Caenorhabditis elegans: one gene and its partners. The protein of the gene in region 2 purifies or fractionates together with the protein of the main gene of each other region. This does not show direct contact. Each region holds a gene or a part of one and is shown on either strand. Other genes may lie near its edges. The genes, in order: gly-3, gbf-1 and pfn-3.

The links.
Region 1: the proteins of gbf-1 (region 2) and gly-3 fractionate together in Caenorhabditis elegans (co-fractionation; one large-scale study listed by BioGRID). This does not show direct contact.
Region 3: the proteins of gbf-1 (region 2) and pfn-3 fractionate together in Caenorhabditis elegans (co-fractionation; one large-scale study listed by BioGRID). This does not show direct contact.

Annotation. Positions count from the first base shown.
Region 1 is NC_003281.10:7,916,068-7,919,820, forward strand, and holds the start of gly-3 (Polypeptide N-acetylgalactosaminyltransferase 3), read right to left. Parts: upstream 1,701-3,753; 5' UTR 1,692-1,700; coding exon 1,546-1,691; intron 1,498-1,545; coding exon 1,343-1,497; intron 1,291-1,342; coding exon 905-1,290; intron 722-904; coding exon 1-721. Other genes in the region: Putative protein tag-250, read right to left, coding at 2,211-2,432, 2,479-2,702, 3,200-3,264, 3,320-3,510, 3,559-3,753.
Region 2 is NC_003281.10:11,771,752-11,775,504, forward strand, and holds the start of gbf-1 (Golgi-specific brefeldin A-resistance guanine nucleotide exchange factor 1 homolog), read right to left. Parts: upstream 1,931-3,753; 5' UTR 1,911-1,930; coding exon 1,837-1,910; intron 1,777-1,836; coding exon 1,428-1,776; intron 289-1,427; coding exon 166-288; intron 1-165. Other genes in the region: immp-1 (Peptidase S26 domain-containing protein), read left to right, coding at 3,213-3,258, 3,312-3,437, 3,488-3,582. UniProt on the Caenorhabditis elegans protein: Guanine-nucleotide exchange factor (GEF) for members of the Arf family of small GTPases involved in trafficking in the early secretory pathway; its GEF activity initiates the coating of nascent vesicles via the localized generation of activated ARFs through replacement of GDP with GTP.
Region 3 is NC_003284.9:1,078,902-1,082,654, forward strand, and holds pfn-3 (Profilin-3), read right to left. Parts: upstream 1,749-3,753; 5' UTR 1,725-1,748; coding exon 1,614-1,724; intron 1,013-1,613; coding exon 965-1,012; intron 919-964; coding exon 795-918; intron 743-794; coding exon 645-742; 3' UTR 529-644; downstream 1-528. Other genes in the region: LIM/homeobox protein lim-6, read left to right, coding at 329-438. UniProt on the Caenorhabditis elegans protein: Binds to actin and affects the structure of the cytoskeleton. At high concentrations, profilin prevents the polymerization of actin, whereas it enhances it at low concentrations. By binding to PIP2, it inhibits the formation of IP3 and DG.

The DNA of each region.
Region 1 (3,753 bases), 3.9 Mb from region 2:
CCAGATACCACTTGAATGATTTACATTGCAACGTCTCTCGCAACTTCTTTCTTTCGCTAACATCTCCAGCTTCAACGTTACGGGCGGCTGGCACCATTTTGTAGAAGAATGCCTTGTATTCGTCCATCCAAACTTCTGCTGTACGTGCTGCATTATGATGGATGACTTTCGCTGTTCCACCTGGGAAAGTGTATGGAGTCTGTTTGCGGAAAACGTGTCCAACACGAGAACATGGATGAATTTCAAGAGAACCTCCACACATCCAGACTCGGAATGATATCTCCAAGTTTTCTCCACCCCATACTTGCATTCCTTCATCATAACTTCCAATATCATAGAAAAATTGCTTATCAATAGCAAAAAGACCACCGGCAATAGTTGGTGTTTGAATAGGCATTGATCTATCTGATCCTCTTCTATTCAATTCTCTCTTCGGTACAGCATACCATCGGAAGTTCAAATGCCAATTAAATCCACCCCATGTTGTTTCGGAAGCAGTCACATATTCGAAGGTATCATCAGAAATTACATCAATTATAGGAGCAACAACTCGTTTTCTGTCTTCAGCGACTCTTGATACAAGTGGTTCAAGCCATCCATCGGTAACCTCCACATGTGCATCCAGGAAGAGAAGGATCTTTCCCTTCGCCATTTCAGATCCGGTTAAGCGAGCACGGATTAGACCGGATCGATTCTCGAGATGAACCAAGTGGATTGGAATCTGAAAAAAGGTTGTCTGTTTAAGTCTAATATCGAAAAATCGAAAAATTTTCGTTTTATTATTCAAATTTTCTGTGTTCTGGCTATCCCTGAGATGGAAATTTTTTGTCTCCATCCTTTAACGAAGAACTAGGGTTACTGTATTTCGGAAGTCGCAATTTACAATTCAACTTATATAACTTACTGGGAACATTTTGATATAGGAATCCAACGGTTTGACCAAGTAATCTCGATCAGACTTATCGTCCACCAAAATAATTTCTTCCAATAAATGACGTGGCGATCGATTGATAACCGAATGGAGTGTTCTCAATAGTGTTGTCCATGCTTCATTATGGAAAACAATAATAATGGAAGTTTTTGGCATTCCAGCAGTTTTCAAATTATTTCCAGACGTGCGGCATGCATCTGATCGGTAATCCGGTAGAGTTCTATTAACTGAAATCATTTCAGAAGCGACAACATTGAATTGATTCTCCAAGAATCTCTTCTCTTTTATAGTTTTTTTGTCTTCTGGAACTGTGACTCCAGTACCTCCTTGTCCATGGTACCCTGGGCCAAATGCTTGAGCTGAAATACACAATTGTTTAAATATAAATTTTTATATTTTGCAATAGCTCACTTTCCATAAGTTTCCTCAATTGATTTGCAGTTTCTTTGTCAACGGGGTAAACTTGTTTCTCTTGTTTTTCAGGTTGAATAGGATGAGCATCTGGATCTGAATCATGTTGAGCTGCTGGTGGTAGTGGTTCTATCCGTCGAGCACGATTCAAGATTCTTAAAAATGATAACAATTAGTTGATGTAAATAATTTTAATAGAATACCTGTTATCCTCCGGAAATGGCTGTTGTTGTGATGTGGATGGATCGAGATAGTAAAAAAGAATAACAACATCAATGAGCAACCAGACGATGGAAGTGGCAATGACAGCACGACATACTGCCGAACGACCACCGCCCACACTCAGCATTCAATTACTCTGAAATTAGAGAATGATTAAAAATTCAGGGGAAAAAAGAAGATAAATTCCGATCAAAATTATTTAACAAGGCTAAATTTTCTTGAATAGTACTGGAAAATTGAAAACATGATAACTTTTGTGATAGAGAATACAAAAAAATGGTTTTAAAAATTCAAATAAAAATATTAATACGTGTCTATTTGAACACGTTTTATATCAAAACTAATAAACCGTGAACAAATTTTTTAAAATTTTTTAACAATTATTATTCCAACAAGCAAAATATACGAGAAGCACAAAAATAATTAAAAGACAATAAAACTGAAATTATCACAGAATTATGAAACTAGAAAGAATAAAAACTGAAGAGAAAAGTGGAAAACTGAGCAAATATTTTTGAATTTTCAGAGAAAGACTACTAATCGGCAAAACTGAGGAATTATGAAAATATACAATATTCAAAAATTAGAAAAAAATAAAGCACAAAATTGATTAGAAGCTTTGTAATGAAGACGGATCAGAAAATATTCAAATATTTCTGCCAACAATATTAATTGGTGTTGGAACAAAAGTAAGAAGTGACTGTGAATTGGGACTTGGAATTGGTGCATTTATTGGAAGAGCCAAACCACACGCGATGAGCCAGTCACCAATATCTCTACCACAACAAGATAAACGAGCTTCACAGGTTGGAACAGCTGGAGCATTTAATTGTTTCCATTGAGACCATCCAGGCTGAGTTGGTTCAACCTGAAATAATTAATTTGCATTTGAAAGTATTCTTTTCATGACTTACCACAACAGGTTCACCACATGCTGCTTCAAAGAATTCTCGAACAGCTTCATGTGACTCGCGGCTCCAAACTTCTCCTCCAGCAACTGGTTTGATTCCTCCGATTTTACACTTGAACATCAGCATTTTTTTGAATGGTGACGTGGAGTTGAGACGTCGCATTGCTTCTTTTCGCACGTATTGGAAAGCGCCCACATCCAGAAGATATACACAATAGGCTTGTTTGTCTGAAAAAAAAAGATGGACATTTCAAGGAAAAAAGGTATAATACTCAGCAAGATTGTAGATGTTTTGTTTTTTTTTTTGGGAAAAATGTGCGAAAAATTCAGATATACTGAGAAACTCACAATTGTTTTATTTACTTTTTCAAAAGTGCAATTTTGAACAGGATATTTAAATTTTTCCAAAATCACAGTTCAATATTACAAAACTATTTTTGCAATTTTTTTCAAAGTTACGGTATTCGGTCTCGACGCGACAAATTTATGTTGAATGAAAAGATGTGTGCGTCTTAAAGAGTACTGTAATTTCAAACATTTTTACGAAAAACTATAAAAATTCCAAAGTAACGAGATCTTTTGATTTACAGTACTTTTTAAAAGCGCACAGCCTCTTGTATTTAATGAAAATTTGTTGTGTCGAGAACTGGTACAGTAATTTTCGAAAATTTTTTTTTCAAAAATTTCCTGGTACAGTAAATAAAATAATAAATAAATATACCTACCAATTTTACTCGCACGAATACACTGAACACGTTCCCAACGATCATCGATAAAAGCCGCGTAGAATCTAAATTTTCAAATATTTAGCTTAAATTTTTTCAAATCAAAAAAAAAAGTCTCACCCTCCAAAATCAGGAGAACTTTCCAGTTGAGAATCAGGCAGAGCACATTCGTCTTTCAACTTTGCATACATATAATCGGGCATCGGGTCTAATGAAAGTTGCCGTAATGAGATGTCCGTGGGTCCTGCAGCGAAAATTGCATTTGCTGGGAACGCTGACATCGGCATTTGAGCAACGGTCATTGGTTGGATCTGAAAATGTTATTCTAAAATTTCTAAACATCAATAGAAGATATTTACCGTCGCAGGTTTGTCAAAAAGACATGTCAAACTGGATGTTGAAGCAGAAGCCGGAGTAATAGGTGAAGTTGTTTTTGTTGGAGTACTCAATCGAACAACTCCAGATGGTTTTTTAAGAAATTCGGTAATTGATAAGCCATCAGAACTTTGAAGATCTACAACTGGTAAAGATTCGGAGTCTGAGGAGTCAAACTT
Region 2 (3,753 bases):
ATTTTTTTACTGAAAATTGAATTTTTTTTGGTTGAAAATTTGATTTTTTGGTTGAAAATTGAATTTTTTTGGTTGATAATTGGATTTTTTGGCTGAAAATTGAATTTCTTGGCTGAAAATTGAATTTTTTTTGGCTGAAAATTTGGGATTTTTCAGCAAAATTACCTTTCTAAGAAGCAGAGAGAGGTTCTGCTCGAACACAATTCTGAAACAAGACTGCATCATATCACAGACGGCTTCATTAGACAAAAGGATGCCTGGAGGGGAGAGAAGCAGCGAGCGGAGCACCTGGAAAATTGAGATTTTTTGAAATTTTTAGAAATTATCAGGTTTTTGGAGTTTTTTTTTGTGAACTTTCGGCGGTTTTTAGCAGCGCCTGTAAAATCTAAAAAATCGCGAAAAAATACGAAATTCATTTAAATTTTCATATTAAATTTTTTGCGTTAAAAACCTGAAAATCATGGTTTTTGGGAGTTTTTAGGTGTTTTTTTTCAATGAAAAATTGGTTAAAAATTTCTGAAAATTCGAGAAAATCGGATAAAAATGCATTAAAATGGAGTGAAAATCGATTTTTTTTTTAATTTTTACCATGAAAAATTGATTTTTATTTTCGTTAAAAACCTAAAAAATTCCTATTTTCTGCGATTTTAGGGTATTTTTCTGGAGGTTTTCTGGTAGAAATTTGAATTTTTGACGAAGTTTTTTGGCTAAAAATTGGCTAAAAACTCTGAAAATTCGAGAAAATCGGATAAAAATGGACTAAAATTAATTTTTTTAAAAATTTTTACTATTTAAAAGTTTTGAAATTCAATTTTTTTTCCTAAAAATCGTTAAAAAACACTGGTTTTAGTTTAAATTCATGAAAAAGTAATGCCGAAATTGTGAAAACTTTAGAAATTCCGTGTAATTTAGAATTTAAACGTCGAAAAATACGAAATCCATTTAAATTTTCATATTAAATGCATTTATGCATTTTTTTCAAGCGTTTTTATTGGAAAAATGGAATTTTCAAGTTAATTAATGACAAATTTCTCTTTTGTCTATAGAATTGTGGATTTTTCACAATTTCCATAGAAAAAAAACTTGAAAACTCCATTTTTCCAATAAAAAAATGCATGAAAAAATGCATAAATGCATTTAATATGAAAAATCAAATGAATATTGTATTTTTCGCGATTTTTTAGATTTTACAGAAGCCAAAAATCGCTAAAAAATTTAAAAATTTTTTAAAATTTCATAATTGAAAAACGGTAAAAATAACATAAAATTCATCCAAATTTGCACTTCTAATGAAATTTTGGCACATTTCTAGCAAATTTTGCGTTGATTTTTTATGAAAATTGACCTTTTTTCTCGAATTTCTGAGAAAAAGACCTGAAATTCTTAGATTTTCACATTTTAACATGAATTTTCAGCACTCCTGGTACCTGTAGAATCTTAAAAAGGACACATTCATCACTTCCAGTGCTTTTCCCGCCGATAAACTTTGTATGAACCACAGCGTAGGCGATAGACTCGACAGCGTTCGCCGCCTTAATACTGCTCGCGTCAATGAGCCCGTAGTTCAGAAATTTGGCGACAGCGGCCAGCGCGGCTTCCGTAATCGGTCCATTCGTGTTCTGAGCCTTTATTACGTCGAGAAACGGTGATAGATACGTTTGTGGATTCATATCTGCCAGATCGGCAACCTCATTCAGCACTTCCTTGAGATCTGTGAAGTTTCGCAGCAGTGGATCCGTGTCTTCGAGCGTCGGCACTTGTGACAGTTGGTATTGTCTGGAATTTAGTATTAATTTTTAATTCCAAAAACGCAAAATTAATTTTTTTGAAACAAACCTCCGAGCCTTATTGAGCAGCGCGACGACACAATTCGCCTCGCCCATCACGATGTAGACGCCGTTGGTCGCCATCTTACACTGACGACGACCTTCTGAAGTAATTATTTCGATTATAAACGGTTAAAACTATAAATTTATGAACATTTCAAGAAATTTGGCTTTGAAAACGGCTTTTTTGGGTGAAAATTAGATTTTTTGGCTAAAAATTGAATTTTTCTGCTAAAAGTGGATTTTTTCTGCTGAAAAGTGGATTTTTGGTTGAAAATTGAATTTTTTGGCTGAAAATTTGATTTTTCTGCTAAAAGTGGATTTTTTCTGCTGAAAAGTGGATTTTTGGTTGAAAATTGAAGTTTTTGGCTGAAAATTTGATTTTTCTGCTACAAGTGGATTTTTTGGCTGAAAATTGATTTTTTCTGCTGAAAATTGAATTTTTCTGCTAAAAGTGGATTTTTTCTGCTGAAAAGTGGATTTTTGGTTGAAAATTGAATTTTTTGGCTGAAAATTTGATTTTTCTGCTAAAAGTGGATTTTTTCTGCTGAAAAGTGGATTTTTGGTTGAAAATTGAAGTTTTTGGCTGAAAATTTGATTTTTCTGCTACAAGTGGATTTTTTGGCTGAAAATTGATTTTTTCTGCTGAAAATTGAATTTTTCTGCTAAAAGTGGATTTTTTCTGCTGAAAAGTGGATTTTTGGTTGAAAATTGAATTTTTTGGCTGAAAATTTGATTTTTCTGCTAAAAGTGGATTTTTTCTGCTGAAAAGTGGATTTTTGGTTGAAAATTGAAGTTTTTGGCTGAAAATTTGATTTTTCTGCTACAAGTGGATTTTTTCTGCTGAAAAGTGGATTTTTGGCTGAAAATTGAAGTTTTTGGCTGAAAATTTGATTTTTCTGCTACAAGTGGATTTTTTCTGCTGAAAAGTGGATTTTTGGCTGAAAATTGGATTTTTTGGCTCGATTATTAATTAAACCTATAAATTTATGAAGTTTTCAAGAAATTTGGCTTTGAAAACGTGGAGAAATTGAGGTTTTCTTGCGAAATCCGGAAGAGAAAAGCGATAAAATCAAGTGAAAACGACACGTCACGTGCACCGTTTTCTGGTGTTTTGTACGCAAACACCGCCACGGCAGAATGCACAGCGAGAATGTTTTTCGATTTTTTTTTGTTTATTATTTTTGTTTTTCGCTCTTAAAATGTTTTAAAAAGTGTTGAAATTCAATTTTTCACCTAAAAATCGTTAGAAATCACTGGTTTTAGTGTGAATTCATAAAAAGTCATGCCGAAATTGTGAAAACTCTATGAATAATGTGTTTTCTCCGTTAAAAAAAGCGTCAAAACTTGAGAAAAACACATCTTTTTCCAGATTTTCTGACAAATATGGTCAAATCAAAGGGCTTGAAGCTTCTCTGGAGGTTTACAAAAGGTTTTTTCTCAATTTTTCCTCCGAAAACTGCATTTTAAACCCAAAAATTCCAGGAACCGCCGCTTTTTACTGCGTCGGACACTGCATAAGCAAGTACATCGGGGAAATGGTGATCTGTAGTGGTCCATCGATGCATCCGACGATTCATGACGGTGATTTGGTGCTCGCCGAGCGATTTAGTAGGAGTTTTTTGAATGAAAATTTCACATAAAAGTGGCTGAAATTTCAGGTATTCGCAATAAAAACGTCCAGGTCGGAGATATAGTGGGATGTGTGAATCCGCAGAAGCCTAAGGAGCTTCTGTGCAAACGGATAGCTGCAAAAGTTGGTTTTTCGCTTGGAAATCGTGAAATTCATGTTAAAAAACTTAATTTTCACTGAAAAATTGAAAAAAGTTGGTTTTTTTGCCTCATTTTTAGAGCCATTTTCCGCGACAATGGTGGGAAAAACCTGAAATTCAGCAATTTTTTTTTACAAAAAAAAGCAAAAAAAATT
Region 3 (3,753 bases), on a different chromosome or scaffold from region 2:
TATGAGGGTTCCCGAGCCCGGCAAAATTGCGAACCTTAAAACAATCAAATTCAAGAAGGCTTCACGCGTAGTACACATGGTACGGCTAGCCGATACGGTCCGTGCTTGTGTCGGCTAACCATGCCAGGTGAATTCCTATAGATTTGTATAACCGGTGAGGTGTCGGGCGATGCAGGCCCAACTCGAAATTTGCAGCAAGATCGGCCTAAGCTTCACTATACTTTTACATAATTGTTCAGTTGGTCAGTCCCGGATAGCTGAACCAAAAGGGCTAAAACTATAGACTTCTAGAATTCAAACAATTGTTCTTATCAAAAAAAAAATTCAGACCTGGACGCTGACGAGGTGGAGACTTCGGAAACTTCAAGCTACACGGACCCAATTCAAAAACTGTATAATATGACATCTTCCCAAATTTATTTTCCATATCACTCTTGACTTTTTTTGTTCGGAAATCAAACCACCCGCTTTATTTTGCTTTTCACCTCATATTATTTATTTCGAGTTGCTATTTTTTTGAATTTTGAGAAAGATAAATATTTATTTCATTATTTATTTATATAAAAAAGAAACGAAATGAAAAAATACAAAAAAAAAAATGCAAACATGGATGGCAAATCGGCAGGAGGCTTCGGGAATTGTGATCAGTACTTGATGGACCTGAAGTAATCGGCCAGGGCTCCGGTGGTCTTGCTGCACATTTCTGGTTGGAGTCCTTTCTCGTAGATGGAAATAATAACGGCTAAAAGTTTCAGAGATTGTTTAAATCAGTCTAGTAATCCTAGTTAGTTCACCTTGGATAGTTTTGTAGATGAAAAATCCAGATCCTCCTTGCTTTCCAATTATTCTGTCATTATCTGCGTTGAGGACCAAGAATTTTTGTCCTTCCAAGCGGAGGCCGGTTCCAAGAAGAGCATCCTGAAAATTAGAGGGTGAGAATGATATTAAGAGAAGCAAAAGGTACCAAGGAGGTGAAGGCTTTTCCTGCGGCGACGGCTTCTTCGACGGAGATCTGGAAATACGTTACTATTCAAATTGTACTGCTTGATCTACTACAGTGCTCAGTGCCCCGACTCTAGCCTCAACTTATGTTTTCCAAAAAATAACGAAACCTTATTTTTAGGACTAAAATAATCCTACACTACAATATTCCTACACCATCTTCACCGACGATTCCTTCAATAGATAAAACGTATTTTTGAACAATAGTAACACTAAAGTACTTCTACAGTACACCAACACACCTTTCCTACATGAAGACTATTTTTATAACAAGCTAAATATGCTTTCAGTAACAAAACTCACGCAGGCGGTATTTGTTCATTATCTGTCAATGCACCATGTACTAATCTTTCAAAACTGGTGCAGACAAAATATAGATTTTGATAGAAGTTTACAGTGTTTTTAGATCAGAGATGAGATTCAAAGAGAGGTGGTGTATCGACCAGGAGTTGCATTCCTAGAGAAATACCTAGAATTCTAGCCTAAGAAAATTGCAAGTCCTTTCCAGTTTTAATATCTCAAAAAAGTTCTAACACCAATCACAAGCTGATCATGCCACTGAAAGTCGAGATTTTGGCAACTTGACAATTTTAAAAACTTTGAAAACTTACATTAAAGTTATCACTCTTTGCCCATACAGCTCCGTCGAATCCAAGAATGGCAGCCTTGCTCACATTTCCAGACCCGATAAGGTTATTGTTGATAATATCAGACCACGACATGTTTTCGTTTTGTGTGTGCTGAAAACTTTGAAAGTAAAAGTGAAAGTCTAGAAGCTCAAAACGTGGAAAACGGGGCACAATTGTGCAGTGCGTGGGAGAAAGAGAGAGAGATATGGAAACAGATGACGCTTGGTTTCTGACGTTTTCCAAAAAATCATGAAGAAATTATTTTGAAATAGCAGTTTGGAGAGATGAGTAATGAACACATGTTGATTAGATATCTGATCGCATGTCTGGTAAACGATTATGAAATCAGGTCTAACTACCTGCTTAGGAGAAGCTAAAACTTGGTTTTATAGAAGCTAAAACTTGGTTTTACAACAAAATTTTTTTTATAATTCGTTGTTAGGTAATTCGATGTCTATAAAATATTATTAGAATTTTCAGCGGATACTTTTAGATGGAAAGCGGCAGTTATTTTTATAGCAGTTTTGTTTTAGAAAATGACGTAAAATTTTCTACAAATTTGTGCCACCTTCAAATTTCTCAACTTTTACAAAGCATTATAGCAACATTAAATTAATACGACCAGGTGCTTAACATCAATATTGAAATCAGTGAAAGTTTGAGTTTGAGCCAAGAATTACAGAGCAAATAAAAAACCTTGAGATTTCTTGTTACCAGTACTGGAGAATTTAATTATTGAGGTTAACTAGAAAGGTCTCAAATCTAAAACCTGTCTGAGATTCAAAAAAAGATAGAAAGAATAGGCCCAGTATTTTTATCCTTAAATTTGAAATACCCACAATTGGATAGTTACTTTTAGGAATACTGTAAAAACCGGGACCAGAAGTGTTATCATGACTCGACATCTACCGGGTTACGCTCCGCATTGTGCTTCCATCAGTAGTGAGTTAGCTTATTGCAAGACCGAATCCCGGTAGATGTCCGGCCATGATATCATTTGGGGTGCTGATTTTTGGCATTTCCTCAGAAAATTATCCTCAAAGTGGATGCCTACTAAATTTCAAGATTTTCACGTACACGCACACCAGTTTTGTTACATTAAATGTAGTATTCGAAAAAAACATATATAAAAGACTTTAGAGCCACAGCAGGTAAATTATTTCTTAACAAAATTTTCATTTTTGGTCAGTTTTGCAATTTACCACTTTTTGATATTTTCAGAAAATACGGCAATATGGGGAAGACGTCATAAATAAAAACAATTCGAAAAAATTAACAAAAAGTGAGAAATCTAACTTTCAAAAAGTTTCAATAAACGTTCGTTTCAAAACCGGGACGCAAAGAGATCGGAAGATATTTGCGTGGGGTTCGTTGCTCGCTGAGCCTCTGTTGGACATAAAATGTGAGACTAAGACTGAATTGCCGCTCAATAGCCGTAAGACACCAGTTTGTCTCCTTGCCTCCCGTGTGTGTGTGTGTGAGAACAGTGTGTTGATCCTGAAGAGAGCGCGCGCCGATTGGAACAGTGTACGGGGGAATGAAGTACCGCAGATAGATGAAGGGCGGGAGAGGAGTCGCTGTGGCAGAGGAGAGCCTATCCCCGGGGCAGAACTCGACAATCATAGTGTAAAGCTGTCGTTTGCTCTATGTCTTTTTCTCTCATTTGCTTTATCTGCAGGTTCCACTGACGCGACGAAAACATTCAAGAGAGAGAAAGGGAAACGGATAGCCCCGCTCACCGACGGCCATCGAAATTTCAAAAACTATTGATTGATTTGCAAGGAAAGTGTCTAATGAGATCAATGTCGAATTTTTGATTTGCGGCTTGCACGCTGAAACATAAGGATGCTTTTTAGGACGGCTCATTTTGGCGTCCACTCAACAGGAAACGTCAGCCTAAAAATTGAATCTAGATAAAATTTGATGAAATAATAATATTTCGTTTTCAAAGTTCATGTGCCAAAAAACTGGAAAAAAACGATTTGGATCATAATATCTTTACTAACACGGTACGAAAAAACAAAATTTCCTGGGGCACCCAATGAAATTTGGTTTTAAAAATTAAGCTCTACAAAAAAATTCAAAAATTTCAGAGTTGGTACAGTTGATTTGTTGATCGAAA